Linked DNA regions of Oreochromis niloticus. The protein of the gene in region 2 binds, or shares a complex with, the protein of the main gene of each other region. Links are inferred from orthologs where the notes say so. Each region holds a gene or a part of one and is shown on either strand. Other genes may lie near its edges.

The links.
Region 1: ecsit (region 2) and tmem186 share a complex: the UniProt entries of both Homo sapiens proteins name them as parts of the mitochondrial complex. The link is inferred for Oreochromis niloticus from reciprocal best matches to the Homo sapiens genes ECSIT and TMEM186.

The regions. Positions count from the first base shown.
Region 1 is NC_031971.2:30,537,000-30,552,480, forward strand, and holds tmem186 (transmembrane protein 186), read right to left. Parts: upstream 7,245-15,481; 5' UTR 7,173-7,244; coding exon 7,170-7,172; intron 5,757-7,169; coding exon 5,094-5,756; 3' UTR 4,172-5,093; downstream 1-4,171. Other genes in the region: hmox2a (heme oxygenase 2a), read left to right, coding at 280-371, 489-606, 1,000-1,167, 1,356-1,679, 1,793-1,925, 2,228-2,355; gde1 (glycerophosphodiester phosphodiesterase 1), read left to right, coding at 7,696-7,965, 8,699-8,874, 11,005-11,110, 11,867-11,959, 13,205-13,416, 13,677-13,824. UniProt on the Homo sapiens protein: As part of the MCIA complex, required for efficient assembly of the mitochondrial complex I.
Region 2 is NC_031967.2:3,203,267-3,219,437, reverse strand, and holds ecsit (evolutionarily conserved signaling intermediate in Toll pathway, mitochondrial), read right to left. Parts: upstream 8,163-16,171; 5' UTR 8,008-8,162; intron 7,873-8,007; 5' UTR 7,786-7,872; coding exon 7,633-7,785; intron 7,465-7,632; coding exon 7,065-7,464; intron 6,974-7,064; coding exon 6,750-6,973; intron 6,634-6,749; coding exon 6,576-6,633; intron 6,454-6,575; coding exon 6,305-6,453; intron 5,842-6,304; coding exon 5,736-5,841; intron 5,651-5,735; coding exon 5,322-5,650; 3' UTR 4,797-5,321; intron 4,712-4,796; 3' UTR 4,508-4,711; downstream 1-4,507. Other genes in the region: uncharacterized protein si:dkey-28a3.2, read left to right, coding at 1,266-1,315, 1,398-1,453, 1,541-1,843, 2,175-2,191; eml3 (echinoderm microtubule-associated protein-like 3), read left to right, coding at 9,847-9,871.

The DNA.
Region 1 (15,481 bases), on a different chromosome or scaffold from region 2:
GAAATGTGGTGCATTAAAGGACACAAACTGCTTTTGCTGTCACGTTAGAAAGCGATATTGTAACCGTGTAAACAGGCTGTTTAACCGTAACCGTATTTAGGCTACATAAGCATATATATTTTTTACTTTAAATAAATAATTTTAACTGGTGACAAGTTGTTTATTTTGATGATTTAAATCTTTTCTTTTATTTCCTGCTTTTTTTCGTATTTGTTTGTCCTGTACATTTTTCTTTAAATCTCTGCCTTTTCTTATTAAGGCCAAAATATAACCAGTATAATGGAAAGCGAACTCCCACCAGAGCCCAACAGTGCCAACAAAGGAAGGTCAATGATTGCTTTGGATGATGACGATGATGATGAAGTTCTCAGGTATGAAGAAAACAAACTAAATAAGCAGCAGTTTATCTTTGCTGCTATTTTGTCATTCAGATAAACGGCTAAGTGTTCTTTTGTGTCGCCCTTCCTGTCCTTTTCTGCTTCACCAAGTCCAACAGACCTGTCTGAGCTGTTGGCCGAGGGGACCAAGGAGGCCCACGACAGAGCAGAGAACTGCCAGTTTGTCAAAGATTTCCTCAGGGGACGCATTAAAAGAGAGCTGTTTAAGGTTTGATTATTCACTATATAAAGGCAAGAATTAAGGCAGCTAAAGTGTCTGTGAACCAGTGAAAGTAATGAACTACTGTATACAGGAGAGCGTCACACAAAGGTCTTCAGTTTGACCCTGTATATCGAAAGTGCTTAGAGGCATAGGCCTACATTTAGTATTGTCAGTGTGATAAAGTCTTGATCTATGCTTTGCCTTGGTTCTAAGGCACGATCAGAAAAATGCTGCCAAAGAAACTGGCAAAATGTGAGCTGTCTGGAACATCAGTTTATCAAATAAAATCATATTTCACCATTTAACTGTATATTATGTCTAACAGTTTCTGCTAGATGAAACATTTTATGTCTGACTCTGACCCACTTATTCTCCCCTCTTTCCTCCCTCTGCTGTCAGAGAGGCACAGCAGCTCTATATTTTGTCTACTCGGCTATGGAGGAGGAGATTGAGAAGAACAAAGACCATCATCATATCGCTCCAATATATTTCCCCGCAGAGCTGCACCGGCGTGAGGCCCTGGCCCGGGACCTTGAGTATTTCTATGGAGAAGACTGGGAAAACCAGGTCAGTAGGAAGCATATGGAGGATATATATGTCAGTCACAGAGGAGGCTGGTCTTTTCTGGCACTTAAGTCATGATTATACAGGTATCATCATCCCAAAAGCTGTATTTAATCAAATTTAACACAGAAAAATCTTCTCCAGACAAGGTTTGTATCAACTGGACTTTCACAGTTGTGTTCTCTCTTCAGATCAGCCTCTCTGCAGGCACCAAGCCTTATGTGGACCGCATCCATGAGGTGGGGGAGAAGGACCCGGTGTTGTTAGTGGCCCACTCCTACACCCGCTACATGGGTGATCTCTCAGGTGGACAGATCCTTAAGAAAGTGGCACAGAGGGCTTTAAAGCTCCCCTCAACAGGAGAAGGTCTCAATTTCTACCAGTTTGAGGGAATCCACAGTCACAAAGGCTTCAAGCAGCTTTACCGAAGCAGGATGAATGAGCTGGAACTGGATGCTGAGACCAAAGACAGGATTGTGGAAGAATCTAATCGGGCTTTTGGCTTTAACATGATGGTGAGGAAACTGCTTATAGGAATTATACAATGTACAGCAATTTGCAAAAAGGTGCATTGTTTGAAAGAGAAATTTAAAGGTAATAAAAATCTAATTTTATTATTTAAAAAAAGGTATTCACAGAACTTGAAGAGCTTGGAAAAACTATCAAAGAGGAGGTCCAAGATGCAGGGTTTGGACACAGTCATGCAGAGATGATGGAGGGTGAGGATATCAACAAGTGCCCGTATTATGCAGCTAAAATGGGTAAGAAATGCATCCCCTTTACTGTATTTATGACATTTGTTTCTAGCATTTCATTCTGCAGATAGAAAGTTAAAAACTTGGTGCTCAGTTTAATAATAGTTTATAGATTTGCCTTTAAAAGATTGGACAGTGTCATCATGGACTTCAGTTAAAAGGGGATCCTTATAACTGTGGGATGTCTGAGTGGAAAGTGTCAGACCATCATTCATAGCTACAAAGTTACATGAAGTACCTAATTCAATTGTCCTGTTTTTTTTCCCTCCTTTTTTCTGTATTCTCATCTTCATGTCTCCTCTGAACAGCTGTTAGTGGAAATCCTACGCATGCGTGCCAGTTAGCCATGACACTTCTCAGACATCCGCCCTGCCAGGTGGTTCTGGCTGCCTGGATGGCTGTCCTCGCTGGATTTACTGCCTGGTACTTTATGTGATCTCTGACACATCTTGATCTGCTGAAGAAGAGTCATGGACACTGTTAGATCCAGCCAAACTTCATCTTCCTTAGTTTGACCGGTACTATCAGAAAGTGCCAAACAGTTAATCAGAAACTAGATAATGTTTGAATATGTGCCAAGAGTTTTCCCCTATGAATCCCACTCTGTGTTCCACTGTCTTTCTACTTCTGAAACAGCTTATGGCGGTGAAAAAGCTTTTGCAGTGATGCAGTTCTTTGAAAAGCTATTTTATGATGCATGCACTTTGAGTTAAGCGACACTTTATGGATGTAGAAATATTAAATGCATACTCTTCTGTTATGTTATTAAAATGTTTTTGAACAGTTTTAGTGTCAAGGACTCTTATGAGAGTTGAACACTTGAGGCAAAGTAACCAACCAAGAGAGGACCTTGGTCAGGGAGGACTGTAAATATGCAATAGATTCTAAAAACATGTTTCCACTTTGTTATGGTGGGGTTTTTATTGTATACATTTAAAGATAAACACAGTAAGGTGTGCAAAGACAAAACAAGAAAAATCTGTTTGAATTCTTTCTGAAGCAACTCAACATTAAAATATTTTGTGAATTAATTCTGTTCTTTGACTTTTTATTGGTCAATTTAAAAGTTTAAAGATTTTTTTCTTCCTAATATAAAGTTTCTTCAGCATTTGCATGTGCTATGTTTAAATTCACCAATATTTTGTATGGATCAATTTCAAATCGTGTTCTGCAACTCAAAACATAAAGGAAGTGGGAAAAAAACGTGCAAAAGAGCAAGAGAAAGCCAACAATCCCCCAGAGGCACATACTGATGACTCAGATTAAACTGAGTGAGTGCTTATAAATTACGTATTGCGAGTGTTTCTCTGGAGTTGATAGGATTGCTGCTGATGTGTAGAATTCAGTGGAAACATCTATGCAGAGTTTTAGGCTCAGAAAGTTCTTACACATGAGTGTAAGTGAAGACATTTGGATTTGAAGTGGACACAAATTTTAATGTTCTTTTTTTTTTTTACCTGAAACACCTGTTGTCAAAACGATCTCTACACACTTAACAGCTTTTGTGGAGCGTTCATTAACTGTGTATCAGGTGCACAAGAAGCCTTCGTTAAGCAGTAACTAAGCTTTGAGCTCAATTGTCACGGTCAAACTGACGGGAATGTTTTTGGAGTTTTGAAGGTTTTTGATGCAAAGAGATCCCTAAAGTTCAAACAATTCATTTTGCACACACCATGAGTTTTTAGACCGCTTTTGGAAATTTGTTTCCCCCTTACACAATGAGAAATGAATTCAGCATATGCATTATTTCAGTTTTCATTAAAGATCTTGAATTCTTGCAAGCACGAGACACACTTCTCCAAACTTTTCTGAAGTCAGCGATTTTAAAGAATTGCATTTTTGTCATTTCATTTCACCCTGAGACTGAACCAGAGTGGTCTGCTTTTCACCAATATCCATTTACTTTGTTTACATTTAGTCCTTTTGTGAAACACGTCGTGTTTTGCATCCATCGTCACATTCACCTGTACTTTCCAGGACAAAGCCGTGCCTCTCTTTTGCTCTGTTCTAATATTATGAATACAATCGTTATCCAAATGATTTGCAAATCTCATGATCGTTTTATTTTTGTCACAGTACCACTTCTAGACAAACTAAAATCAGTCCAGGTCCATAGTAACATAGTGAAACACTTTTTTTAATGAGACATGTGGAGTCATATGTTTTTTGTTTTCTTGTTTTTTTGAAAGAGTAAATAAATAAAAAGCTTTATGAAGCTGTGGTCATATGTGGCAGTATTTCCAGGGCCAATATTTGAGATATTGTAAATGTAAATGGAATAATGTTTATGCAGTGCTTTTCTACTGTTACTGAGAACTCAAAAAACATTTATAAAAGCTTATTATCTATGATACACACTCCTTCATATTTGCAAATCACTTTGATATGAGCCAAGAAACCTGGATCAAATCACCAGCTGGTAGTTAACCTGCTCTACTTCTATTTCTAGATGTCAGAAAACATCTTAACCAAGATAGAACTGAAAACTCGCAGGTTCTAAAAACTCAGCAAGAGAAACTGTTCCCAAAGTGACATTTCTTTGAACCAAACCTGAGGCAAAATGTATGAATAATTCCCCGTTTCTACAGCCAGGATGCCCTAACCCTAGCCCAATCAAAAACAATGTTGAAAAATGCATTTTACATAATAACAGTTTTAAGGTTTACACTTTAACCTAACACACACAAAAAAAATCAATATCAGGAGGAGACAACTTCTTTGGAGCTTGCAGCAAGAAGGACATGTGACCCGTGGAGCTATCCTATCATGGTCTAATGATGCAACATGAATATTCGGACAATGTTAGGCCAATCTCACTTGATTTTTTTATTTCAGCTGCATACATAGTCACCATTTAGTAGACAACTGTTAACCTACCACAGGGTTAGGGTTAGGGTCCAGATTTTTTTTTTTTTTTTTTAAATCTGCAATCTTACTTCTCAACCTTAATTAAGATAAAAAAAGAAAAATAATAATAAACCAGTAATTTATCAACTGTGGATGATTCAGATCTATGTCAGCTAAAATATCTTAGATATAAAATATAACAGCAAGCTGTATAATGTGTTTTCATTTAGAATATTGTTCATGGACAATAGATGCATCTCTTAACATGTTATATTTTGATAATACTATTCAGAATACTCCACATTTTCTTTTAAACAAATAATCATTTTAAAAACTTCCAAACACTTTTTTAAAAGCCTGTTCATCCACCACACGTCCAAAATGAGTTGAGAAATACAGAGTCTCCGCACTGCTGTATCTCTTAAATTTCAGTATGGTCTCATTTACGGAGTCCCCTGTGTCTCCAATGGTCATGACATCTGACACTGGCAGGTACATATCATGGCGCTTTCCCCAGAAAGTGAGGTGGGACACTTTGAGCGTGGTCTGAGATGGATCCAGATACATCATTCCCACCACCCTTCTGAAGAAGTAACTGGCAGTATACAGCATAACACCAGCAAACAGAGCTATCCCTGTCGTGTAGCCGACAAGAAAGGCGGAGGCAGCTCCCTGGAAGTAGAGGACGTACACCGGGGGCAAGAGGACCACAGTTATTGCAGTTTGGAGGAGTTTGAGCCTGGACACAGCTCGAAGGAGCTTAATGTATGGCAGGGTGTAAATCATAGTGTACTTCTGTGTGGACACATCCGAGTAATTAACAAGGGCTGTGATTTTAGGGATAACAGGTCCATGTAGGCGCTGCTGAATTGGCCTGAGACTTGGTGAACAAGGCTGCAAACTGTAAGGTGTTCGAGCTGCGAACAGACTTGATCCTCTGGTGAAGGACAGGACGTGGGGAGTTAATCTGCACCGAAGAAGCGACCTGATCTGTAGAAAAATAAATAACATCAAACAGATAAATTCAATATGACATGTTATTCTCTGTCAGTATTTCCTACCAGGGTTCATCAATACAATCTCAGAGAACAACACATGTGGGGGATCAGATAAAGACCTGTTCCAAAACAACTACTGATGGCATAATGTAACTCTACAATGGCCTTATTTAATAAATAAATAAATAAATAAATAAATAAATAAATAAATGGAGTCTGGAGAAAATGAAGACATTGATGGATTCTCATACACATTTTCCACATGTGTGTTCTAAGCAAGTGCATTATCAATGTATACCTGTAAGTATTTGTACCACATAACCCGTCTAATGGCATGGACATGTATAGTAATAGGGGTCTCATCTCCAGCTGATATAGAATCCTCCACTTTGTGCAGGTGGTACTCTGCACACCAGTTCACAAACCCGTCCGCTCCAGCTCTATGGCTGGAAATAAGCTCCACTCGCATATAACTTGCATCCATTTAGTTTAACAGACACGGTTGAGCTCTTTGACAGTAGGTAAAGTTTCTCACAGAAGGAAAATAGATTGCTTGTTACCACATTAGCAAATGAGGACTTGCCTCTAGGCATACCATCTGGAAACCAATACTGTAAAAGATCAGGTTTAGCTCTTCATCAAGCCAGGTGGTAAAATATGAGGGAAGCACTTTTTTGGCTCATTTAGGTCACCACAGCAGATAATTTGCCTCCACCTCACCCTGGTATATCCTCGGTCATATCTAAATATCCTCTTTTTTGCTTCTGCCTGGCAACTCCATCTTCAACATCTTTTATCCAATATATCCATTATCCCTCCTCTGCACATGTCCAAACCATCTCAGCTTTGCTTCTCTAACTTTGCCTCTAAACTGTTGAACCTGACCTTTCCCTCTGATGCGCTCATTCCTAATTTTGTCCATTCTGATCTCTCCCTATGAAGCTCTTACAACTCTTCCACCTCCGATCTTTTTGCCAGTGCCATCATGTCCAAACCATACATCATAGCATCACTACCATCTTGCAAACCTTCCCCTTCACTCTTGCTGCCATAAATCACCCCAGACCCTCATCTCAGCCTTCCTGTACTCTCTACTTCACTTATTTTGTGCACTGTACGTTGCTATTGCAGTAATATACAAAATATAATATTATGCAGTTGCTTAAAAAAATACAAGAGGTATACCCAGACGAACACTTGCAGTACATGTACAGCAGCTGTTGTGTAGCCGCTGTGTGGAATAAAAGAACCTGAAGGTGCACATGTCCTGACTGAGCTGTCACCAATGACTGTAGAAAACACACAGCCCTGCCACAGCACTAATGACCTTGTGTGGCTAAAAATTAATCTTACTGATAATAACAGTCAATGCTGGATAAGAGCTTGCATATAAAACGAGGCTTACCATGATCAGAGACCAGCTAAATGAAAGAAAAACGCAGAAACAAGAAAGATGGATCACGAAATGACATGACTTGAACGAGCGCTAACAGGAAGCAGTTATGCGGTGTGACCCGGATGTGCTCACCTTTAACGTCTCGTTTTTATGTTAATGTATGTTTAATTATTTCTTTTTTTTGTTCCGAGACATCCTGTGAGAAAGCTGTCAATGATCGCTCTGTAACAGCTCAGTGAGAATAATAATTACAATTTTATTATAATTTTGAATAAATCTAATTCATTTTGGGGGTGTTAGCTTAAATGCGGAACGGGAAGCGTAAATCAGCAGTTCCCTTTAAGTCGCGGACAGGGGACTGTCTCTTGGTAATGAGTGTTTTATCGCCGGGCAAAACATGTTCTTATCTCATTTAGGTCGTTTAAAGAAACTAAAATTAGGACAGTAAACGTCCCACACCTTAAATGCGGAACATTTCCTGCCAGGTGCTATTTTCTGCTGTGGGACAGGTGGAGAAGACAAAGACAGGACAACGATGGTCCAGCTGGGAGATGAAGCGACCCTGTACTCCCTTATCTTCGTGGGGATCCTGCTGGGGACCCGAAGCCCGGTGTGGACAGTGGTCCTCACCGCCTCTCTCTACCTCTTTCTAGCCATGTTCCGCTTCCCACAGGTACCATCCAGCCGAACCCAGAAGGTGCTCCACCCAGTCAAGGGCACGGCGGGCACCGGCAAGGTGTCGGTGGTCGCTCACCGGGGCGGCGGGCACGATGCACCGGAGAACACGATAGCATCTATCCGAGAGGTGAGAGAATGAGGTGGGGAGGGTTTTGGAGCGATAATCCTTCATATGCCCTTTTTTGTTTCTTTTTTTATGGCAGTGGTTGCAAGGGGAACTACTGCGATGTCTTTAACTTCTGGTATTCACACCCAGTTTGTATCTGGATAACTTATCAGCACAGAGAACATGCATTTTAAGGCCACCACTGTTCCAGCAGCACCTTCTATCACAATGTTATCAGCCAGTTCCCAACTAGCCAGCCTCGTTTAACTAATCTGCATGTTGAGATAAAGTAAAGAGATGTGAGTAATAATTAATCTAATACCATCTGGATATGCGTAGTCCCATGTATTGGTTTTAATTTATACAAATAAAGATATCAAATACAGACCACATGCTTATATCAGGTGTATATGAGGTGCGAGTGTGCTGAGCCAGAAATTACACCTCAAAAATACACCTGCTAGTGCTTTTTAGTGTACAGACTTTGTTGCAGTGGTGTTCCCTTTCAAACAGCATTTCGTAACTGCAATATACCCCCATTTATAGGTCAACACAGAGTACAGATATAATCAGTTTGCTAGTCAAGTAAAATTTTCTTCAAATGGATCGTGGCCATTATGTCTACTTTTGTCGTACAGTAGTTGAAAATTAAGCTGCAAAGTTTGTTTTTCTAAGTGGATTTTAGGGCAGATTTGTGACCACCAACTCCATCTGAAAAAACATCCAATGCTGAAAATTGTCTGTTCTGTTGAAGGCCAGTAAGAATGGGGCGACTGGTGTGGAATTGGACCTGGAGTTCTCAGCAGATGGCGTCCCAATACTGATGCATGATGAGACCGTGGACCGGACCACCAGTGGGTCAGGATTCCTCAGCAAGATGAAAATGTCAGAGCTGGCTAAACTGGATGCAGCTGCTAAACATCGACTCAGGTAAGAAAGAAGCATATAGTCAGGAAGGCACAAACAAAGCACACGGTAGTGAGGTGCTTTAATGTGATACAGGTTCTTGCACACTAATATACTAGCAGGTTTAAACATCCACTGAAATAAGGTAATTTCCCCCTCGAAGGGAGGATGTATGTAATCTGCTCAGTTTGTCTGTTTGTTAGCGGTCTAGCATACACAGAAGCCACAACACAAGATTTCATTTTAAATTTTATTTTGATCAATTTGAGCTGATTTTTATTTTAGTGAACATTGGGTCAAGGTTACATCAAATGTGAAATTCAGTAAAAACTTTGTTATCCACAAATTATAATTTGTCTTTAAACTTTATAGCAATATACTAGGCATTGTTGGAAATGAGTACCTAGGTGGTCAAGCATTTCACCTTGGCCTTCACTGCGCATGGAGAGAGCTGTACAACACACTTTTTTTTTTTTTTTTTCCAATATGATGCCATATGATGTCACAATGACGGCATAAAGTTTTGCAAAATCACACACTGGATGATTATATCTTATCTTAAAGTTGTTACAGCTTATCAATGCCAAAGATTTCAGCCAGTTCTGCTCCAATCATATGGGTAAAGATAACAAAATACACATATTCTAGTATGTAATGCTTCAAGGTCAAAGGTCAGGGTCACACAAATAAGAAAATACTTCAGTTTCTACTGGATCATATCCAACATTTAAAGTAATATATTAGTCACTGGGGGGCATATGCATTTTTTTTTATTTTTTTTACTTTAACTTATATGACTTTACAATAACACAGCAATATAAAGATTATATACTACACTAGACTTCCATATTAACAATGCTCACTATTCCAACCAATTTGTGCACTGAACCACCGACAGCAAAACACCCCCAGAGCATGATGCTACTACCACCATGCTTGGCAGTTAGTACAGTGTTCATAGATTTGAAAGCTTCTCCGTCACTCCTACAAACACGTCTCTTGGCATGTTTGGCATTGTGACCAAAGAGCTCAATCTTTGTCTAATCAGACCATAAAACTTTTGTTTTGAAGGCTTTTGGTTTATCCATGTGGACAGCTGCAAATTGCAGTCAAAATGGCCTGCATTTGTATAGCGCTTTACTCAGTCCCTAAGGACCCCAAAGCACTTTACACTACATTCAGTCATTCACCCATTCACACACTGGCAATGGCAAGCTACATTGTAGCCACAGCTGCCCTGGGGCGCACTGACAGAGGCGAGGCTGCCGGACACTGGCGCCACCGGGCCCTCTGACCACCACCAGTAAGCAAACATGGGGTTAGCCCAAGGATATTTGGCATGCAGCCAGGAGGCAGCCTGGGATCGAACCACCGACCTTCTGATTAGTGGCTGACCAAGGTGTCAGTTTTGGAGCAGTGTCTTCTTTCTTAGTCAGCCACGGTGGCAGTCAAGGTGTCAGTTTTGGAGCAGTGTCTTCTTTCTTAGCCAGCACCCTCTCAATCTATGCTGGTTTGAGCCTCAGTGATTCCTGGGTTATTTTCTCTCATCTAAGATTGACTGTGTGTGTCTTCGTCAAGACCTTGGCAAAGTGGTTACTCGTCTGAATAATTCGTGCTTATGTACAACAGTTTTAAACTAATAATTTCAGACTCTTAACAAGAAGTTAATAGGTTTTTGCTTCTCGATTTACACAAACCCAATTTACACACATGTTCAAATAATACTTTCTCTATGACAGTTTGATTGTACTGTGTTAGATAAACACTGTATTTTGCCTGAGGACAGCATTTAGATTGGATGTGCCAAGGATCAAATATCTGACTTTCCAAATCGATGACCCACTCCATCTCCAAAACACAAAACATTCAATACACATTAAAAACATCAACAAAACACACACGTAAACAAGGATCTTCTAAACTCACATACATACATTTCTGTTGCACACACATTTCTCAAAACAAACAAAAAATATAGCCCAGGGAAATATCGGAGCAGGTAAATGGCGGAGAACCGGAAAATTATGCTAGATGAGAGTGAACAAGTATAACAGTGACTTGGGCAAACTGTGTAGTGAGACGTATGAAAGATCACTGGCACAATATAAAAAGAAATCCAGTTAAAACGAGTCTTACTTGTTTTATTTCCACCAGGGACAAGTTTGCAGGAGAGAAGATCCCCACCCTGGAGGAGGCAGTGGAGGAATGCATCAAACTGCAGCTAACCATCTACTTTGATGTCAAAGGTCATCCAGATGAGGTAAACCAGGCCAACAAAACTGAGAGATTGCATCATGTGTGTTGATTTTAATTGATGGCTTGATACAAAATGATCACAAGTCCACCACTTCATTATTTCTACTTTTTTATTCATTACCAATAGAATGGCCCTATAATACATGTCACCACTCCATTAGTTACACAAATCTAATCATTAAAATTAGTTGTGGCAAGCCAGAGTCATACTGGGAATATCCAGAGAGGAGAAACACTACTAGGTCAAACACTGATGCACTTAGAGATGTCCAGAACACATGTTCCAGGTTTGTCTGTACTCAAACAAATTACAAACCTCTAAAACGCACACGGACGCGCACACACACAGCTTCTCACAGATTGAGGACAGCACCACTGATAAGTAATGTTTTGTTTGTGTGGTAACATTCTGCGTGCTGTTAGACGTTCCTTGTTTGTTTGCTCTTTAACAACTAAATGTAACTTTGTTTGTGTTGGCAACATAAAAACTGAGCCAAGGGCAGCAGTCTCTTAGCTTAAAGTTAGGTTAGTTACTCAACTCCTTAAGTGCAGCATTTGCACGTTTTTAAGGAAGGGAAAGCTGCAGTTGTGGTTGGAGGTTCGCATAGTGACGTTTCTGATTTGCTGGTCCGCGTGCCTGTGCATACACAGCTGCTAATTACCACCTAGTGGTCGGAGAGGAACACCCACAAGCAAAAACATTAAATCTGCAAACAGCTGAATGACCTACGATAACCATTTGTTTCTTCTTCCTACTCAGGCAGCCGCAGCTCTAAAAGAATTGTATAAGAAACATCCGGTCCTCTACAACAGCAGCATCGTCTGCTCCTTCGAGCCCAAAGTCATCTACAGGGTAAGACGGCTCATATCTGTAGAGTTTAAAGCTTAGTTCATGTCAGTAAACACACTATTTTTCAGGAGGGATTTTTCTCTGTGGTTTTCTTTATATGATCTCGTCCAACTAGAGGAAAATTACAATTTAGAAGAAAATACACCGAGGTAAACTAATATGTAGTATGAAGAATCAAATTACAGACATGAAGAGTTTCTGGTGACTTTCAGGTCACGTAGCACCGTTTGTCCCCAAAGGGGTAATTTCAAGGGAGTGCTTAGCTGCAATTACACACCCTTAAAAAGTACAAAAAGTAAAGATGCACAAAGTTCAGACAGTTCGGCTGCACACAGTGAAACAAAAAAACAACAGAAGAAATGTAGAAACATGTTTGTGTGGGTCAGCTTATCTTATTTATCCTACATTAATTAACTTCTACTATAAACTAGAAGTTCAAAGTTCTCTATGCATGATTATGAACCCTGACCACTTTCAGAAGATTTTTTTTAAACTTGCAGCACGTTGGCAACGTGGTTAACACTGTTGCCTCATAGTATGAAGGTCCTGGGTCCAAATCAAGCATTTGGCCTGGGCCTTTCTGTGTGGAGTTTGCATTTTCTCCCCATGTCTCTGTGGGTTCTCTTTGAGTACTCTGGCTTCCTATCATAGTTGGTGGGTTGCGTTAATTGCTGATTCTAAACTGGCCGTAGGTGTGGATGTAAGTATGAATGCTTTTGCCTCTGTGTTAGCACTGCCACAGGCTGGAGACCTGTCCAGGGTGTGCTCCACCTCAGGCCCTATGGCAGCTGTTACAGGCTCCAGGCCCTCCGCAACCCTGAGTAGGATAAGCGGATATCTGTGTGTTACACTTTGCACCTCTTAGACACATTTAGGTGATGGATTACAAGACTAATTAAACAGTATGAGCACACAGCTCTTAGTGCCTGAGCTCTTGGTTCCCATTTTCATTCACTTGTTACCAACTAAAGTGAACGCTAAGATGACCTGACATCAGCTGACATGTGGCTCAAAGTAGTTTACAGTTTTAATTGTACTTATTTTTGCACAGTCTAAGAGTTAACATGCAGTTATTTGGTTCACAATCCATACTGGACTAAAACGGTATTCTAATAAATAGTGCTGACTCAGAAAGAGGGGGAAAAAAATACACAAATTGCTCTATAACAAAACAGCATGCTTATCTCTCCCACATATATGTTTCTATTGTAGCTGCTGTTTTAATGTTCACCAACACTTTGTGTCCAGATGAGACAGAGTGACCCAGACGTGGTCACAGCACTGACCCACCGGCCTTGGAGCCTGAGCCGGTTCGGGGACGGTGCCCCGCGTTTCTCATCGCTGTGGAAACACCACTGGATGACTCTCATGGACATCTTGTTGGACTGGGCACACCATCATGTTTTGTGGAAGCTCTGTGGCGTTTCGGCGTTCCTGATACAGAAGAACTTTGTCTCACAGTGAGTTTTGTAGCTGGAACATACAGTCTTATATTCTATATATGCAGCAATGACTTCATTAGAGTGCAGATGTGTTAGAGGTGCATTTTAATGGCGCTGCTAACTGTCTTATTCCATGCTGGGGTTTATTGTTGTGGATCATCATTTTTTTACGTTATACCAAAAAAGTTGTCATTGCTTTGTACTCATCCTTAAAAGGTTTTTATCGGGTCATTCAGACCAGAGGAACATCACTCACCGATTGTGTGTCCTGTCTGCAGGGACTATGTGCAGTACTGGGCCCAGAGGGGTGTCGACGTTGTAGCCTGGACCGTCAACACACAAGTAGAGAAGGAGTATTACCAGGAGGTGCTAAAAGTCAACTACATCACAGACAGCATGGTGGAAGACTGTGACCCTCATTACTGACGTACACATAAATCCATTCCACAAAATGTTGGCATTTAATAAAGATAAAAGTCATAAAAAAAAAAGAACCGTCACCCAAATCTAGGCTCAAGCAAGAGATCATATACTCCTTTTAATTCCAAGAACACTTTCGCTGCTGTTTTTCTATGGGTGTATGTTTCCTGAAGCATTTAACTGGGCGCCATAACAAAATACCAATTAAAGATTTTATTACAATTAAATCACTTTAATAATGATGAACTCGCCTGTTATCTTTACAGACTTGTTAATGCAAGGTGCTGGTAATATGTGTCTATAATAGACCTGCAGCAATATGATGTATTCATCCACTCAGGACTACATCGTTTTTTTTTTTTTTAATGTTTGTCTTGTTGTGTTTATACAGTCTTTCAGATAATGCAGAGCACTGTGTGCGCTTTTTACTCACTAAGATCTGAAGAAATCTACCTTGAGATGATTTTTTTTTTTTTGTCATTTATGACATGTGAATACTACTTATTAAAGAAAGATACGTAAATGCTTTATAGAGCAGCATAGGCAAGCTAATAATAAGTAGGCTTGGTGATTACTTATGTTGTTAATGTATGGAGAAAACAAACTTTTAATGTTTTTTTTTTTTTCTTTGCAGTACACTTAAAATTTTGCTCCTCATTGTAGTGCTGTGTTTTTGTTTGTTTGTTTTTTTGCAGTTATTTAATACTGCAGTGATAAGTACCTGCTTAAGGTGACAGAGCTGCTTTTTTCCCCTTTATTACAGTAACAAAGTACTGTATATGAAAACACAAGGACATTTATGAGGGATCAATTGTGGCACAGATAGACGAATGAAGTTAAAGCATGGGTTTGTGTAAGGCTCAAGTGTTACCAATAACACAGTGCCTTTTTTTTAAAAAAGTAAACCATTTTTTTTTAGCAGTATGACAGTTTTGTAACTGCTTTACTTGAATGGGTAAAAACTAAAGTTAGGTGTTGCTTGATGTTGCTGTTTGTCTGGAAAATCAGCCTCATGCTTTTGCATTTCATATACGATGAATGTAAACTTGAGTGTAGAATTTCAAAATGTAAATTACACAATTTGGTGTTGCCATAAGGCTTTAAATGACTTTAATAAGCCTGACTGATTCTGGGTGTTGGGGCTAATGACTGCCAGCTTTTGGTGGTAACCACATTCTAGTATCTGATGATATCATTACATCTATACACTATAGATACTACTGTACACCAGAGGTGGGCAATTAATTTTCCTAAGTTTAGAAACTGGAACGGTTGTGGAGGTAAAATATCAAATTTTTACTCAACCATAAAATCTATGTTTACTAATTAAATGGCTCCAAGTAACAGGAAAATGCATCAACCGTTTAAAGTAAGGTGACACGGACTCATTGCCTTAAATAAATGTGTACTAACTTTACTTGTTTGCATATTTATTCCCATTTTGAGGCAGGAGAACCCCCTGTAATCAGACTATTTCTAATTTACCCCAGTTTTATTAACATTGGCCAACCTAGGCTGGATTTCTAAAAACATGACATACTTACATGTTTCAGATCATGAAACAAATTTTAGGGCTAGACAAATATAACTCAAGTAAATACAAAATGCACACAGTAAAAAAACCAAGTGTCAATTTTACACTTAGAGAGTTGATTTTAACTCT
Region 2 (16,171 bases):
ACAAGGTTCAATCCTGGGTCCACTGATATTTTCCTTTTATCATTCAGTCTTTTTTTCTTATCCTTTTTATGCCATCTTTTAAGCCTCACCAGCCAAATAGGCTGCCCACCCTGGTTGGCTGTTTATCCCGGAGTAGTGACTGGGACTCCAATAAGTGTCTTGTTTTAAATTCCGACAAGACTGAGGCCATGATTACAGCTCCACTTGAAATACATTTAAGATTCAGTCACGTGATTGATTTCTTTTGCTCATCTTCAAAGACCAGCGTTCGTAATCTCGGTGTAGTATTTGATTCCTCGCTGAACTTTGACTTACATATAAAATGTACTCACGTTCCTTTTACTTTCTTTTAAGGAACATTTTTAAAATACGAGCCTCGTTCTTTGAACTAGAGCAAATTGTTCGTTTGTGTCATTGCACCTGTTGTAACGCCCTTTTACCAGTTTAGACAAATCATCTTTGTCATCTTTGTTATTTATGACAAATCATCTTTGTCATGCCTCCAAACAATTACAAAATGCTGCAGTCAGACTCGTAACACAGCCTCGAGAACAAAACGACATAGAACTTTCAAATTGATATGATAGGTGTATCTGCTAAAAATCTTCAGTGAGTTCAAATCTCATGACTTCAACCTGAACGTCAGACATCAGAGGTGACGTTTTCTGAAAATCATACCATAGTTGTATCTACCAGGAGGGTGAGGGGTACCACTGTCCACCACCAGTATCTTTCTCATCACATTGGTTCCCAGTAGATTTTAAAATTCTCACACTTATAATTAATTAATTTAAAAATTGAAGAGGGTCCTTTCAGCAGCATCAAGTATGTTCCCCACATAAATGAGGGTTAAAAACATCGGTCAGACTTTAACGCAGGTTTTCTATCACAAGCCTGATACCATCATTCCTATGAATGATCTCTCAGTGACACAGAAACAGAGTAGTACTTTAGTACTCTAGTGGAAAATGAATGGATCACTAAATGGTCTACTCGTGCCCCCAGCTTCTTTACCAAAGCCTTTGTTTGTAAGTAAATCAGATGACCTAAAGACACAAAAGCACCAGAAAGAAACTACAAAAATACACAAAATAATGTCAAAGTGACAAAACCACCACAAACACCACTACAGGAACTCTGCTTAAGCATCTCTCCAGTCTGACTTGTGTCTAGGTTCACCTTGTTTCAGGGAGCTCATAAAAGCACGTAAAAACACTGCGCGTGGCCTGTGCTTTAGTTTTTCACTCTTTGCCTAATATCTATAGGAACCTGGTCAGTGGGTGAACTCTTCTGAGGAGTCAGAACATCTAATGAGGTGAGAGATTTCTTTTGCTCGCTTTCTTTTGACATCAGCATCATCAACATTCAGGATAACACACAAAAATCTCCCTTCACAGCTCTTCAGTGGACTCGGCATCCTTTACATACTCGGATTACACAGCGCCAATCGAAGGTAAAGTATGTCACTTTGAACTTGAAGGAATGCACATAAAATAGTGAAAGTAACCAAAAACAAACTCTTCTCTAACTGCCTTCTCAGATGAGTCAGAGCTGCTGTTTGCTGAAAGTGAGGAGGATTCTGTTTCCGATGCTGTGTGGAGGAGCCGCTACCTCATGGACTATGACCCACTCAACCAGCTGCTGGTGTGCATGGTGTGTGGGGAACTGCAATATTCCCACAGCCTAGAGGGAGTGAAGGCCCACATTGACGAGGCCCACCCGCACACCCTGACCTTGGAACCCGGCGAGAAAGAGCAAATACGGGAGGCCTGGGATGAGCAGGTGTCCCGGCGGGAACGCTTCTTCAGCAGCCAGCTGCAGCAGCACAGCAGACCTGTGGCAGGTACAGTATGTGCTCGGATCACGTAGTTAAGCCGTGTTTGCAAGGGTGTTGGAAAAGTGACGAGTCAAACAGACATTTCAGACTTATTCACACAACCACAAGAAGTCACCTGACTTTGTAACAGAGCAGAGTTAAAAGTAGCTGCAAAAGAGCATCTGTTAGCCTCATCTGTACGACTGATCCCCAATGAGGTATATCCTTTAATCGCCTCATATATTCATATAATGTAATGGTAGCAATGCTGGCTCAGCAGTTATATACAATAGTTGACAGTGCAAACTCACCTGACTGCACCGATCAGTGAAACAACGCTGTCTGACTTCTTTTGCAGAACCACACAAGAACTGAAGAGCTGGAGAGACGGCTGCAGGAGGAACTGAAGACCATGGACCGGGAGACACAAACCCTCCCTCCTCCTTTCTCTCATTTATTGTATTTTTTTTATCAGTGTGTTTACCTCTGTAGGAAGACACCTTGGACAAGAAGGCCCTAAAGCAGCTTTACCTCATTTCCTGCCAGGGTTGTGTATGTTTATCAAAGGCAGTGAGGACATTTTTATACTGAAGCTGCCTCATCCAAGTTTTGCTGTCAGTCCTTCCCTTGTCCTGTTCGTGGTCTCGCTGTGCTCCTTTTTTTCTCTCACCCCCAATCAGTTGCAGCAAACGGTTGCTCCTGCTTCTCCCAGAACGTTCCTCCTGTTCAAAAGGAGTTCTTCCTCCCCACTCTTGCTGCTCATGGGGGATCATTGCACTTCTCCATAATATTTTTGCTTTTTACAATACAGCACCTTCAGATGAGTGTTGGAGTGAAACATTACTATATAAAGGAAACTACATTTTGGAAATCTTCACTCTGGGAAGGCTAAGCTAATGGGATTCTGGATCTGTTTATTAGGCCACTGAGCTTTCTGTTCTTAATTTATTGATCCAATCACAGACTTGCACAAACATTTTCTTTGATCACATGACCTCTGTGGGCACCATAATAAAATATAACCTGTGTTTTCCAGCTGGAGCATACTCATAGCCAGTTTGTACATTCCTTACTGCTCTCTTCTGCCTTGTTGGGTTTTCTGCAGGGATAAACATTTCAGCATCCTGGGAAGACACTATAGGTATTCCAAGGAAAAACGGGATAATAGGTAGTATGGGGGTAAAAGACTTGCTGAATGAGTAGCTCAGAAGCTCAGTCATAAAATTAGCACCAGTGGCCAGGCTGTGAATTCCATAGTGGGAAGTGTTTTAGCACCAAATATAAAGAAAAATATTGATTGTGTAAAGTTCCTGAAAACTCCTGGAAGGTGGAACCTGCTGGCTGAGCTGCTGAGAGCACAAACTGGGGCTGAATGCACGGGACTGAGGAACATTACTGCTGAATACGTTTGTATTGGAGGACGGGGTCATCCTTCTTTCTAATGTCAGTCTTGCTTTTAACTCGTAGACGGCAGTTAGCAGGCTTGTGCAGAGACACACTACCTGTTCACTGATAAGCAGCCGTGGGATAACATCCATGGCTTTTGTCAATGTGACATTTATAGTTAATTATAAATTAAGTTAATATTTAACCCTGGGATTAGTCAGCTATAGAAAAAACAGCATCAGCACAACATTTTCTACTATTTGGAAGCTGATAGAATCTGCTAGTGTGCAGATTTTCCTGCAGGCTTGTATTCAGGTTAGTCTGCTCTAGATTCTTGATAGTTTCTCAATCACTGAATGGGGCATCTGGAACTGAGCTGCAATTCTTTTCTATTTGCTACTGCATCACACCCTGACCTGTTTCTCTACGGCAGGGGTCCCCAATCCCAGTCCACGAGGGCCGGTGTCCTGCAGGTTTTAGATCTCACCCTGGGTCAACACACCTGAATCACAAGATTAGTTCATTACCAGGCATCTGGAGGACTTCAAGACATGTTGAGGAGGTAATTTATCCATTTAAATCAGCTGTGATGGATCAAGGACACATCTAAAACCTGCAGGGACACTTGCCCTCGTGGACTGGGAATGGGGACCCCTGCTCTACGGGCAACGTTTTTTACCCAGACAACTTTCTTAGGGACAGTTTGTCACCTCTGCAAAAATCTCCTGCAGCACTGTAAATAGACTAATATAAAGCTGGTTATGACATGCCAAATGTGACTTTTTCTGTGCCGTTCCACAATATTTGGAGCAGCCTTGTTATTTATTGAATCTCCTCTTACGCAAGTGATCGTTGATGATGCATTATTCATATCTGTAGAAAGTTCCATGTTAGAAAAGTATTTCATTTGTGAATGTTATCAATCCAAGGCTTTCCTACTTAAGTAGTAAATGGATGAAGTGCTCTGGAATGCTTTTCAATGATTTTTCTATGATTTTCATGAAGACTACAACACTGAAATATTCTTGTATTTGAGCACAAAGCTGAGGAGCTGAACACTGTCTGTGGAGCCACAAGGCAGTGGAAAGAGCTTGTGGTGACCAGATCACTCATGAAAATCAGACGTGATTGTCTGCCAGTTTAAAAGGGAATGTTTAAATGCCTTTTCAGTAATAAACTTTTTCTACTGTTCATTCGAATCCTTTGTCTTTTTTGTTAAACTCTGTTTTCTCCAGTGCAGTTGTGTGGCATTATCATCAGAGATATTAAGAATTTCACATTAAAAAGCACAAAATTCCTGCTTTGTACATTGACCATATCATTTTTATTGAATCCATTGAAGTTGCATTTGATGGAGCCTGGACGAAGCACCAGTGTGGCTGCACCCTGGGCCTGCGATGGCAGCTGTGGGTGACCTTTGTGTGAGCAGTGCAAACTTGCCAATGCACTGCATTAAGGCAATGCATGGATGCAGAGCATGATGATGCACCTCATCAGGAGCTTTTTTTACTAAGAGATGGAATAACAGTTTCACAAACACACATTTTGCTAATTAACAAAACTACAATCAAAAATGGTTTTAGAGAAACCCTACCAGACACTCCACTGCTGAAAGACCACAGACGATGAGACGAGTCTACAAAGTTTCCTCCACAGTCTGACCTCAACCCCAACGTCATGACGACTGAAAAAGCCAAACAGTCCTGACAGCGTGAGCTCACTGAAGTCTGCGTGGCGAGCTGTTGTCATTACAGCAAAAACCAAGTAAACCAAAATCAAGTACGGACGTCAAAAACCAAAAACAGCAAGAGCTTCAATAGTAGTGAAAAACAGTCAATGGTTAAAGAGAGTCCAAACGTAAATGGAAGTCAACATTTACTGTGACAACTTGACTTCATCATTGTTTATTTGCACAGCTATAATGACTTCATCTGAACACATACGGAGTTAGTACTTAGTACTTCCCCAGATAGTCTGCTGTATTTTAAGGGAGTCAAACATTTGTGACTGAATAAATACGTTTGCAATCATTTTGTATGGCTTTATTAAATATGCTAAAAAGAATTTACAAAAACCTCCCAGCTGGTTGGGAGGGAGTCAGGAGGAAACTTTCTCCTGTTCACTGCTTCACACCCTGGCTTCTCCTGGGCTCCTCTTCCACTACAGCCTCAGCTTCTTCCACTACAGCCTCAGCTTCTTCCACTACAGCCTCAGCTTCCTCCCCAGGGTGTGCTTCTTCTCTTTGGACGTGTGAAGGAAACCAGGATCGACTGGCCGAGTCGGCGTCGCCCACCCCTTGCAGCTCCCGGGGTCCAGCGCCCAGTCGGAACAGCGTGGGGATCTGACCTAGGATGGGGTTACTCTCTTGGAGGCCAGAGATCCACTGATTGAGGGTAGCCTGGTCCCCCTGACTGGTCATGCACATGGCAAAGACTGGACCTTCATCCACTGGATAGACACACAGACACAGATCATCTATGTTACACCCTGGAAGTGAGGGGTTGTGGTCAACAGCAGTGATGCCATATCTTACAGTCTTCCACATCGAAGCTCTCATCGTCCCCCAGGTCGCGATCCAAATCCAGGTCTAGCTGCAGAGGATAGCTCAAACACCTCTCTGGGTCATAGGGCTCTTCTATCTGGGGGGAGGGAGGAGGAATGTTTTTGTAATTTAATTCACATATTCTATATTCATCAGAGTCTACAATGAGGGGAACACACAGGCGGTCACTGCTGAAAAGGCCGGCTGTTTGCAGATGACAGCCAGCCGAAGAACCGGGGAGAGCTTCACAGGCAGTGGAGTGAGGGTGGTGTCAGTTCCCCAAACACCAGCATGCACAGATGTCTACAGGAAAGCAGCTACAACTGCTGCATTCCTAATATCTGAGTGTATTAATGAACACACCAAGCTGGACATTTCTGTATTATAAATCCTGTTTTTAATTGATCTTAGGAAATATTCTAGAATCTGAGATTCTGGGTGTGACTTTTCTGAGCTATAACCCACAATCATTAGAATTCAAACACACTGTTATATGATCATCACACAGCATTTATTATCCACTACCCACTTTGTAATGGATAACAGTAATGTTCGCCCACCTTCTCTTCAGGTGGGGTAGGGTCAGCTCTGAGGACGTAGTAGTAAACACACGTTTTTCTCATCCACAGAGGGAAGGGGCCCTCCACAAACACGGGTCTGTCAGGGTTGTGCTTAGCGAGCGCTTCCATCTGGCCGGGGCTCTGGATGCCTGGTGCAAACACAGGAAAGACAGAAACAAACAACAAATATGGAAATTATGCCTCTATTAGTATTTATTAGCAATATATTTCTGACTAAAACACAGAATGTAGTTTCTCAAGTCATCCATACCTACTATATGTGGAAGTGTGACTTCAGCGCCGCTCTCTGTGACGTCTGTACAGGGCAGCTTGTGAGGAGAGCACACACACAAAGAGTTTGGTAAATACAAGATTTACATCTGATGACAAAAGTCAAAGACTGTTTCCAGCCTTCATGCTAAGCTAGGCTAACCCACACGTATACCTGGTAGACGGTCACTTTTGCATCCCAGTCGTTTGCCATGCGAGTGAGGCTGAAGCGTGCCAGGTCTACTGGGTCTTCAGGCAGTTGCTCAGGAATAGGAAAGGGGTTTACGTGCTTGAACTTGGGGAACCAGTACATGATACGCTGGTACTTTCTCATAGGGTGGGTCTTTTCTCCAAAGATCTGGACCAGCAGCACTTTGGTCTCAATGTTGGGCATGATACCTGAAGCACAGACACTGACACTTAGACACAAAAACAGTGTAAAGAATACCTCAAGATTCTCAGCAACTACCACAAAACTATAGACACCCACCATAATTCTCCATCTGCTCCAGGACCTGCACTCCACACTCCTGCTGACGGGGATAGTGGTTGAACATTCTCTGGATGAAGTTTCGCGGCACGAATACCTCTTTAGGAAAAACATCCAGCAGCTTGTTGTAGACAGTGAGGTCTTTTTCCACCCCGAATTCTGGCATCTTCTTCAGAGCAGCATAGATAAACTCCACATGACCTCGACGCCTTATGTCTCCCTTGGTGTAGACGTCTATCACTTTGTTAAATGTGGCCTTGGTTTTGGCTTCTTTGGCAACCTGCTCAAACAGGTCATCGTGGGTGACCAGAGATTTGTCCCTCGTCTTGTCCTCCTCCTGAACGAACCGTGCAGGCTGACCCTTGGTGCACGCTGGGCTGCTGTGGAAATGTCTCAACACCTAAAAGCAACATGTTTTAGTTATGAACGCATATAAAAATTCATTCATATGATCTGATTAGATTATTTATTGATTAACAACAAACAAAGAGTCGACTGCCAGCTGCCTTTCTCTGCGGTTATATCAGTGTGGTTTAAGAGCTTAAGTCTGGTCGCTGCTAAAGCTCACCTCGCGCTGTGCGCACTGCAAGCCGCCGAGCTGACTCGAGGAGCGTGGCCGGAATAGAGCGCCGTTGTCTCCAGCAGCAGGAGGCAGCAGCCTCCCTGCGTGGCTGAGCAGCCGCAGAGACTTGAGCTGATGCAGGCAGCGGCTGCCCTTCATAGTCGAGCCATCATAGCGAGTGTTAGAGAACAGAAGTGCGCACGGACGTGAAGCTCACACATTCACTCTTCGGTGAACCTCATCCAGCTGTAAATATTTGTACAGAACAATAAAACTTTACATTTCACATTTTTGTGAAGTTTAGTTCGTCAGCTGCTCAAACGTTGTAGTAAGGATAGTTATTATTATTACCCCAAAATGTATAACCAAGTTAATACTGACCATTAATGCCGACAATCGGACAAGACTAGAGTCTCCTTCAGAAAGCGCTGTCAATGTACGCTACCATGTTGAAAGGCCAGTACAGCATTCCGGTCCGACACGCGTTTCCTTCCCCCAAACAACGGAAACAGTGACAGAAATGATTGTTCCGTAAAACCGCAAATAAGCGCAGTAAATATTCTCCATTGAAATGCAGGAAAATTATTATTTAATCAATGCTATTATCCGCGTTGTAGCTATGATTCTTCAAACTATTAAACAAAAGTAAGAAAAGAGAACGCTAACTAAATTTAAAAAAAAAAAAAATCATTGTCGTGTTCTTGTCAGTTTAGTCTAATTCAGGAGATATTTCTTAAGGCAAGAGTCACCACTTTGCAGCCATTGTCGAGCTTATGTTGGCTGACAATGGAGTATTAAAATTCCCTTGAATTCAGATACACTCACGGTGACACAACGTTGCATTTATAGAATCGCTATATAAGGAAAACAACAAAACAACAACAAAAACAAAAACAAATAAAATCACAACTAAAAACTAAAAGAGATTTTAGTTATAAGGGAAGGGACGCGTAGAGCTGCCACCCAGGCAAAAGAAAAATACAGCTATATCACGTTATAACGTGAAAACTTTATTGTTCTAACAATATACCTTTCATGTTTGTACAATATAATTTTCGCGTTTGAACAACATAATATCACGTTTTTAGAATATACAGAATTATCACGTTATAACAAAAAAAACCTTTCACGTTCTTACAATAAATAAATATTTATCTGTCAATAAATATTATATTGTACGAACGTGGTAATTATGTATATTGTAATAACGTGATATTATGTTGTTCAAACGCGAAAATTATATTGTACTTACATGATGCTATATTGTACAAACAAGTATATTATTAGAACAATAAAAATTTTCACGTTACAACGTGATATAGCTCTATTTTTTGCCTGGATGGCAGGTCTACGCTTCCGTAATAAGGCGTTTTATATAAAATAAATAAATCACCTGTCTTGCGGGTATCTTTATGACGTCAGATCACTGTTACAAAAGGACATTTTTAACGTCAATTACGCTTTCTAACTGGATCAATAAAGGATATATAAAGTCACTTTACCAAAAACTAATTGAAGCTTCTACCTTGTGACAGGAATATTGTGTGTGGTGAAGACGACTGGATATCATTCATGAGGGATGCATGTGATATACGTTTCATTTCTTATAGGCCAACAAGTTATTTATAGCCGTTTGAATGCAGGCGATCACTTTCTGGCACAGGTTTCAGGGCTTGTAGTGCACAGCGCCACCACGAGATGGAAACAAATGCTCGTCTTCTAGCTGTCAGATGATGACTGCAGAGCTGCAGCCATAAGAAGCTGCTGTAAGAGTTCTGTGAAATGTTCTGGTATGCGGACACTGTGAAATCCTCTTTACTGAATCACTATGACTGAGGCGAATATCTGGCAGCACCTTTAGCCGTACCTGGTGCCTTCCCGCCAATAGTGTCAAGTTAGCTATAACGAGGGGCTACACTTCCGGAAGCGGTTTTCAGTCTGTGGTGTGATTGTTTTTTAGTTTTTCATTTTATATAAAGTAATTTCGAACTATATTTTATATTTAAGCTCGATTTACTTATAAGTACCCCCCACACCCGTGCGTTTAATAAACTATTACGCTTTATGTTGCGGAAAATTTCGCGTTTCCGGTATTCTTAGACCTGTCAATCGACTGAAGTCTCCAGAGTGTGGGCTGTGATTCTCTGCTGTCAGCATGGAAAACACACCTTAGTGCATGCTGCTCCTCTAGAAACAGGAGACACCGTTTAAACTGGGATTATGGATTCCTCTACCAACAGTTTGGGTGAGTACAGCAGCGACAGTGGTCCTTTGTGTTTGTGTGTGTGTTTTTTTACTGACACCATTAGCATTGTGGAAACTTCACTGTCCGTGCTCGGATCAGATAATCACATCGCTCTCAAAGGAACGCTGTCAAACAGCTTCAAAGATGGCAATCTTTAGAGAAAACTAGCATACACCGCACCATACACGTCTTTACACAGTTTAACTAACGCGTTAAACCTCGAACTTTGTTCGGCCGCCTTTCAGTCACACCAAAACTCTGTAACTGAACACTTAAATCCAGTTTTTCAGCAGTTTGGCAGCGCTCGTCGCCGCATTCTTTGGTGTCTTTTATTGCAAGCGGATAGTCGGCGGAACATCCGCTCTGTCTTTCAAAGGATTTTTGGTGCTTAATTTTGGGCTTTTCCACATTTCTCCATGTTTTGTTCAGTAACTCGTCCACACTTTAGCAAAGACAGACAGTGGTCTTAAACGTCGATGGAGAAACAGGACGTTACAGCAGCACTCTGTGACTGTGTAGATGTGTGGGAACGGGCTGCACATCGTTTACATTATTTCTGTGGCATTCAAATAGTTGTCTTAAGTCTGGCCCGAGTGATCAGGACACCCTGGAGGCGTGCCTGCAACGCCCTCACTTTGTGTTGCAAACTGAGTTGTGTGCTGCTGATAGATTCCATTTTGTCACGCGTGGGTAGTTTGAGCATCAACATTGAGACCACCGGCAGAGCGTTCAGGAGCCTGAAATAATGGAATAAAATGCACGGAAGATCGCAGCAGCCTGTGTCCATGCACAAACAGTTCATCAATATATTAGACGAAGTACCAGCTGAACATCCTTCTCTCCAAGTCACTGTGGGTTGGGTGAAAAAGCTCCACCCTGTCTGCCCCCACAATACTTATTATTATGCAGGAACTGGAAGTTTGATAGCTGCCCAGTGCTGCTTTTGATTCCCATCTGTATACAAACATCCACACCCCAAGCCTATCTTACATACTCATAACGTGGTTTCTTGAAAGCTGGTGGGCAGCCAAAGTACTGGGGAACAGCGAATATATTAATATCACATGGGGAAGCTTGAGGAAGGCAGCTGTGACTCAGTGCTGGAGGAACCTTTAAGACACAGCCATTTCTCTTAGTGAAGACCTGTGTTACGATGGTGATTATGTTTAATAAATGAAGGTTGTGATACATTACCTGCCTTGGAAAGCTGTATGAGGTGTGCTGGAACTTTGGAGATTTGCTTGTACCTCAGTGTCAGCTGGCTGGCTTATGTAATATGAGTTTGTAGGGATCAAATCACTGCTGTGTTCAGCAGTAACATGCAGATACTGATACGCAATATTTCCTCCACTGAATACAGCCCAGTATGGTGGACAGATTTGCAGGAATCAAATGCCAGCATAAAAGGTGAAGTAAATCTGACATTAGATTAAATGACTGGCTGATAGACAGAAAAACTATCTTTGCAAACTAATCATAGTAATTTTTTAGGGAAGAGGGGACAAATGTGCAGTGTATGCAGATTCCAGTGCCACACAAAAGAAACTTTACTGCTTTTCCAACAGTTTACTTCTGTTAATGGGTATTTGAGACTTAACAAAACAAGACATTTTAAAGATACTGCCTTCAGTTTTAATACTGATATCATTTTTTAGATGTTAAAAATAAAGTAAGATAATATATCCATATTGGAAATACAAAATAAGCCTGTTATCTTACTGCATTTCTGTTGTTTCATAACATGAGTCCTGTGTTCTGTAATTGTTGTGTCCATGACTTTTATCAGTAATGATAACTGTACAAGTTCAGTCTGGGCAGAAATTTGGAAAAGCATGAAAAACTCCTCAGATTTTCAAAATGCATTTACTGAGTCACTCCTAGCAGATGAACATGGACACATGCATGCTTTGTGTGTGTCTGTGTGTGTGTGAACACCATACAACCCAATGAAGTATCACACCCTCTTAAGTAACTGCATAACTTTAGACGTTACAAGAAACTCCCCGGCACAGAGTAAGGAATGGAAGACCTTTGTTTCAAATGACAGATGTGCTGAAGTCTGTAGTTTATGGCTCAGGAGGTAAAGTGTTTGTTTACTAGTTGGGAAGATAGTTTTTTCATACTCTGATCTTCCATAAAAGGTCACAGCTTATGCTAATAGGGTCAAATAGACCAGATTAGAAGAACTGTATAGAAATTCCAGTGAATGTGGGATTTATGTTTGGACGTAACTCAGCGTTACCTTGCTTACATTGGCAGGAATCCTAGTAAAGGTGGGGGATCGTACCATTAACCCTGACTGACTAACACTTCTTTCTGACCCACACAGATCATGTACAGTCGCACACTTAAAGGAGCTCAAGTGCATAAGCATAATATAAGTACCAAGCTCTTTACTATAAATGAGAACAGTGGAGGGAAAATAGAATCAGTGAAACGCTTTGCTGACACCGACATGTGCTTTGTTGTGGTAATTGTCAGCCTCTCTTTTATAGACTCCATCTTTGATGAGCTATTTTTCTTTGTCATGGTTTGCTTTGGTGTATAGGCAGCTGTTGCTAATGCTGGAATAGCAACTTTTCTTACAGGAAGTGACATCACTTACTCCCTGTTTCAAGCATCTGAAGAGGCATCCCTTCTTCTGTCATGAGTTTGATTTGTATAACTTGAAAAGAGAAGAAAAATTTAATTACAGTCTGCTTACGGATTACTGTAAAAATGTGTGCATACCCCACTTACACAGCTGGAAGATGTGAACGTGGTCACATTGCTGTAGTACATAAGACAGGACAAGAAATACACACCTTTACACTCAAACAAGCATTATAAAAGCCATCAGAGGACTAACGCCAGTTACTGTTACTGTTAAACCCAAATACTGTTTATACTGTAGCACTTAGACACGTGCTCTAATAGAGAGGTTTAGAATTAGCGCAGCAGAATCGAGTCTATTCATACAGCACTTAGTCAGTGGAGCTCATTATCTTTGTCAGTTTGCTGCTGTAAACACCACACTGAGAACAGGAGTTATACTTGGTGTATATACGGTAAGGATTAAATTAGTGGAACCAAAGTGGATTTATCATTTCAGCGTGTTGTGGTTTTGGCTCGAACTGCTGTCTAGAAGGAGTACTGTGAGGATTTGGGACGCGTTGCAGTTGTGCAGAGATCAGCAGGAAGTTGCATCAGCAAATAGCAGCTATTTCAGTGTTTTTCCCAGAATGTTGTAATAGTGCTTCTTTTCAGAAGAACACACATGCTCTTTTGCTGGAGCCTGGAGGTAAACACTCTTTCTTTCTGTCTCAGGGCTGCAAGTTAAAGCTCACTACTTTCTAATAGACACTGAAACGTCTCTGTAGCATTGAATGAATGCTGACTACTGTCTGGTCAGTTTAAAGATTGAAGTCTGGTAAATCAGAGTAGTTTCAGTGGTGCCTTGTTTTGATCTCCTCAGTTTCTCAACTGCCAGTACACCTGTAAATGACAAGGAATGAACGAAACCACAGCAGCTTAAACATCAGTCTGTGCAGTTAAAGCAGTTCTGATAATAAATCAGTCTCACTCAGTGAGATCATGATGTGGCAGAGATTTATGTTCCATGGGCCTTCAGTGGCTTACAGTTTTGTTAACTGTATGTAGAGCAAGCATGGACTTGCATTGTGTTTGTCTGCCTCATTGAGGCCTGACGGTTAAAATTGTGACAGCGTGTTGTAAGCTGCACCATCTCCTCTGGTTTTTTGACAGTTACTTTATCCATGGTTTTATCCTTTAAGATAGCAAGGCTGGCTTAACTGGTTTTGGGGCCCCTGCTGCAGTTTGCGAGAACAGTGTAAACCAATAAATCCACTCATGCAACAGTAATCAAACCCAGCATTATTTGTCTTTTGTTAAATCATTGTCCTTTGGATTTTTATGCTGTGCTTATCCCGTATAATGGTGGCATAGTGTTACTGAAGTGGATGTGCATGCGTGCATAAAGATTGTATAATGTGTGTGTGTTGTTAGTGGGGTGGGGCTGGGTGACTTTTCCAATTTTATATGAACTTTGTACTTTTAACTTCGATATTGTTTATATTAGTTTATTTAACGTTGGGTTCACCTGCCCAGAGACTGGCTAGGAGCTAAATTTGGTACGAGGTGTCTCGTATCTGCTGAGATCCGCGTTCTTGTTTGTGGTTCGTGACAAATAAAAAGTAAAAATGAAATGAAACGGGGGTGTCAGACTCAGTTTCACTAAGGACCACATGGGGAAATGAGACTCGTCACACGTCAGTCCCGCCGACATGCTCTAGGATCATCTAAATGTCGTCGTAACCACTTGTTTCATGTCCCTGACCCAAACCGAGTGTCACCGTCTCAGTGACGGGTGGCTCGGAGAAATATTTAGTTAAGATATAAATATTTTTGCCCTCATATGTCTTCTGTGCATTCAGTGTTGGAAACTGTTCCTTGAAAACGTGTTCTCACCCTCCCACCTGTGAACGTATCTGCCTGCAGCATCAACTTTCCATTTGTATGCCGTCTTTTTTTCACCAGCTTGTTGGCTTCCAGCTGCAGTGTAGAAGTGCCTGTCGTTTGGGTGCATTGTGTGCACAAGGCACAGTTTTGTGTGCAGACTACAATCGGTTAGTTTTAATTATAGTCCTTTCATAAATTCTCTTACTACAACCGCAGCAGAGTAGAGAGTACTCAGAGGGAACACATTCAGGTGCAGGGAGAACATGCAAATGCCACACAAAGGCACCACCCGGCCTACAGAATCAAACCCACAATATGTTTCTGTGAGGTGACAGCGCTAACCACTGCATCACGTTGTCATCGGGTGTGTTTTTGTGATCCTCCCTGAAGATAAACACAGGAATGAGAGTTGAAGTGAGGGACTGTAAAGGAGGTCAGCTCGTCTAATGTACAGTCCTGGTGAATTAGGAGCCGTTTGCAGCCATACAAGCTGTGCAGTCAGTCACATGTGTGCAGCGGCATGGTGGTGGGGTGGGGGGAGTATTTCTCACAGATGGTGCAGCTCTCTGTTTCACTTCTCAGATGGGACCTCGGCACTTGTGCAGGGGCGTACAGGATGTTGAGCAGCGGCAAACATCTAAATCAAAGTAGAGAATTACAGACTGAGCGCTGTGTGTCTGTAGGTGGCTGAGGTCATGATGCAGCATCCTTGGGTGACAGGTAGAAAGAGTGGGCGGACGCTGTGACAATACGTGTGTTAGTCAAACGGATGCAGGACACAAATACTCTTTTTAACTTGTATTTAAGCACACTGCATGCAGATAAGCAGCTAAGCAGGGCTTATTAAAAACTAAAGCAACATTTGGAGAAGAGCAGTAATCTAGATTTGTAGTAACATGTTTAATGTAGATAAAAGTAAAACAGGAACTTTAGTGGCTGATTATAGTGGCTGGGTCCTTAAATGACCCTGAGCCTTTTACCAAAGAGATCATCAGTGGATTATTCTTAGCTTTGGGAGCAAATTCTCTCTTTTTTAACAATCTGTGGATACGGCAGAATGCCAACAACGCATGAGGCTTGTGCTGTGTTTCACAGACTAATTTTTCTTTTCTTAAATTGATCCGCTTCGTTTTCTCTCAAAACCTGAATCATAGGTTTAGTATAACCTGCCAAGCGGGGTTTACATCCTGTAATGTTCAGAAACACTCCTTTTTTTCTCCTACTGAACGCTGCTGCTGGACTAGAACTGCTGTCACGTCCAGTAACTACTGTGTCACTGGGCTTCAAGTGCACCACAAACACTTGAGCTCTGTTCCTAAACTTTCCCTTGTTGAGAAAACCCTGTGACGTGTATGAAGAGTCTTTTGTCTAACATTCCTGTGTCATTTCCTGTCAGTCATTCTGTGTCTGCTGGCATATGTTGAGCAGGAATGAGATGTCAGCAAATATCCTCACCTTGATATAATAACGATATTCAGATCTGAAATTTGTGGAATGTGAAAAAAGTACTGTTAGTGTGTTTGTTCACATAATGCATATTCAGATTACTCAATTATGACATCCCTAGCCATAACTCAGAAACTGAGAAGCAAGTCCACGCAGAGATAAGACATTCCAAAATTGGTGACATAACCTGCTTTTGCACTTCCATGTTACGACAGACGAACTGTGAATAGTAACCAGAATTCCAGTATAGCTACACTGAATTTAATGTGGATCAAATTCCAGCTTCCCCTGAGCTGTTGCCAAACAGCTCTGAGTCATCCAGTCTTGGCTTCCATGTGAAAAATGAAAAGAAGAAAACCAGACTGGAAGTGGAGTAAGATCATTTATGCAGATGTG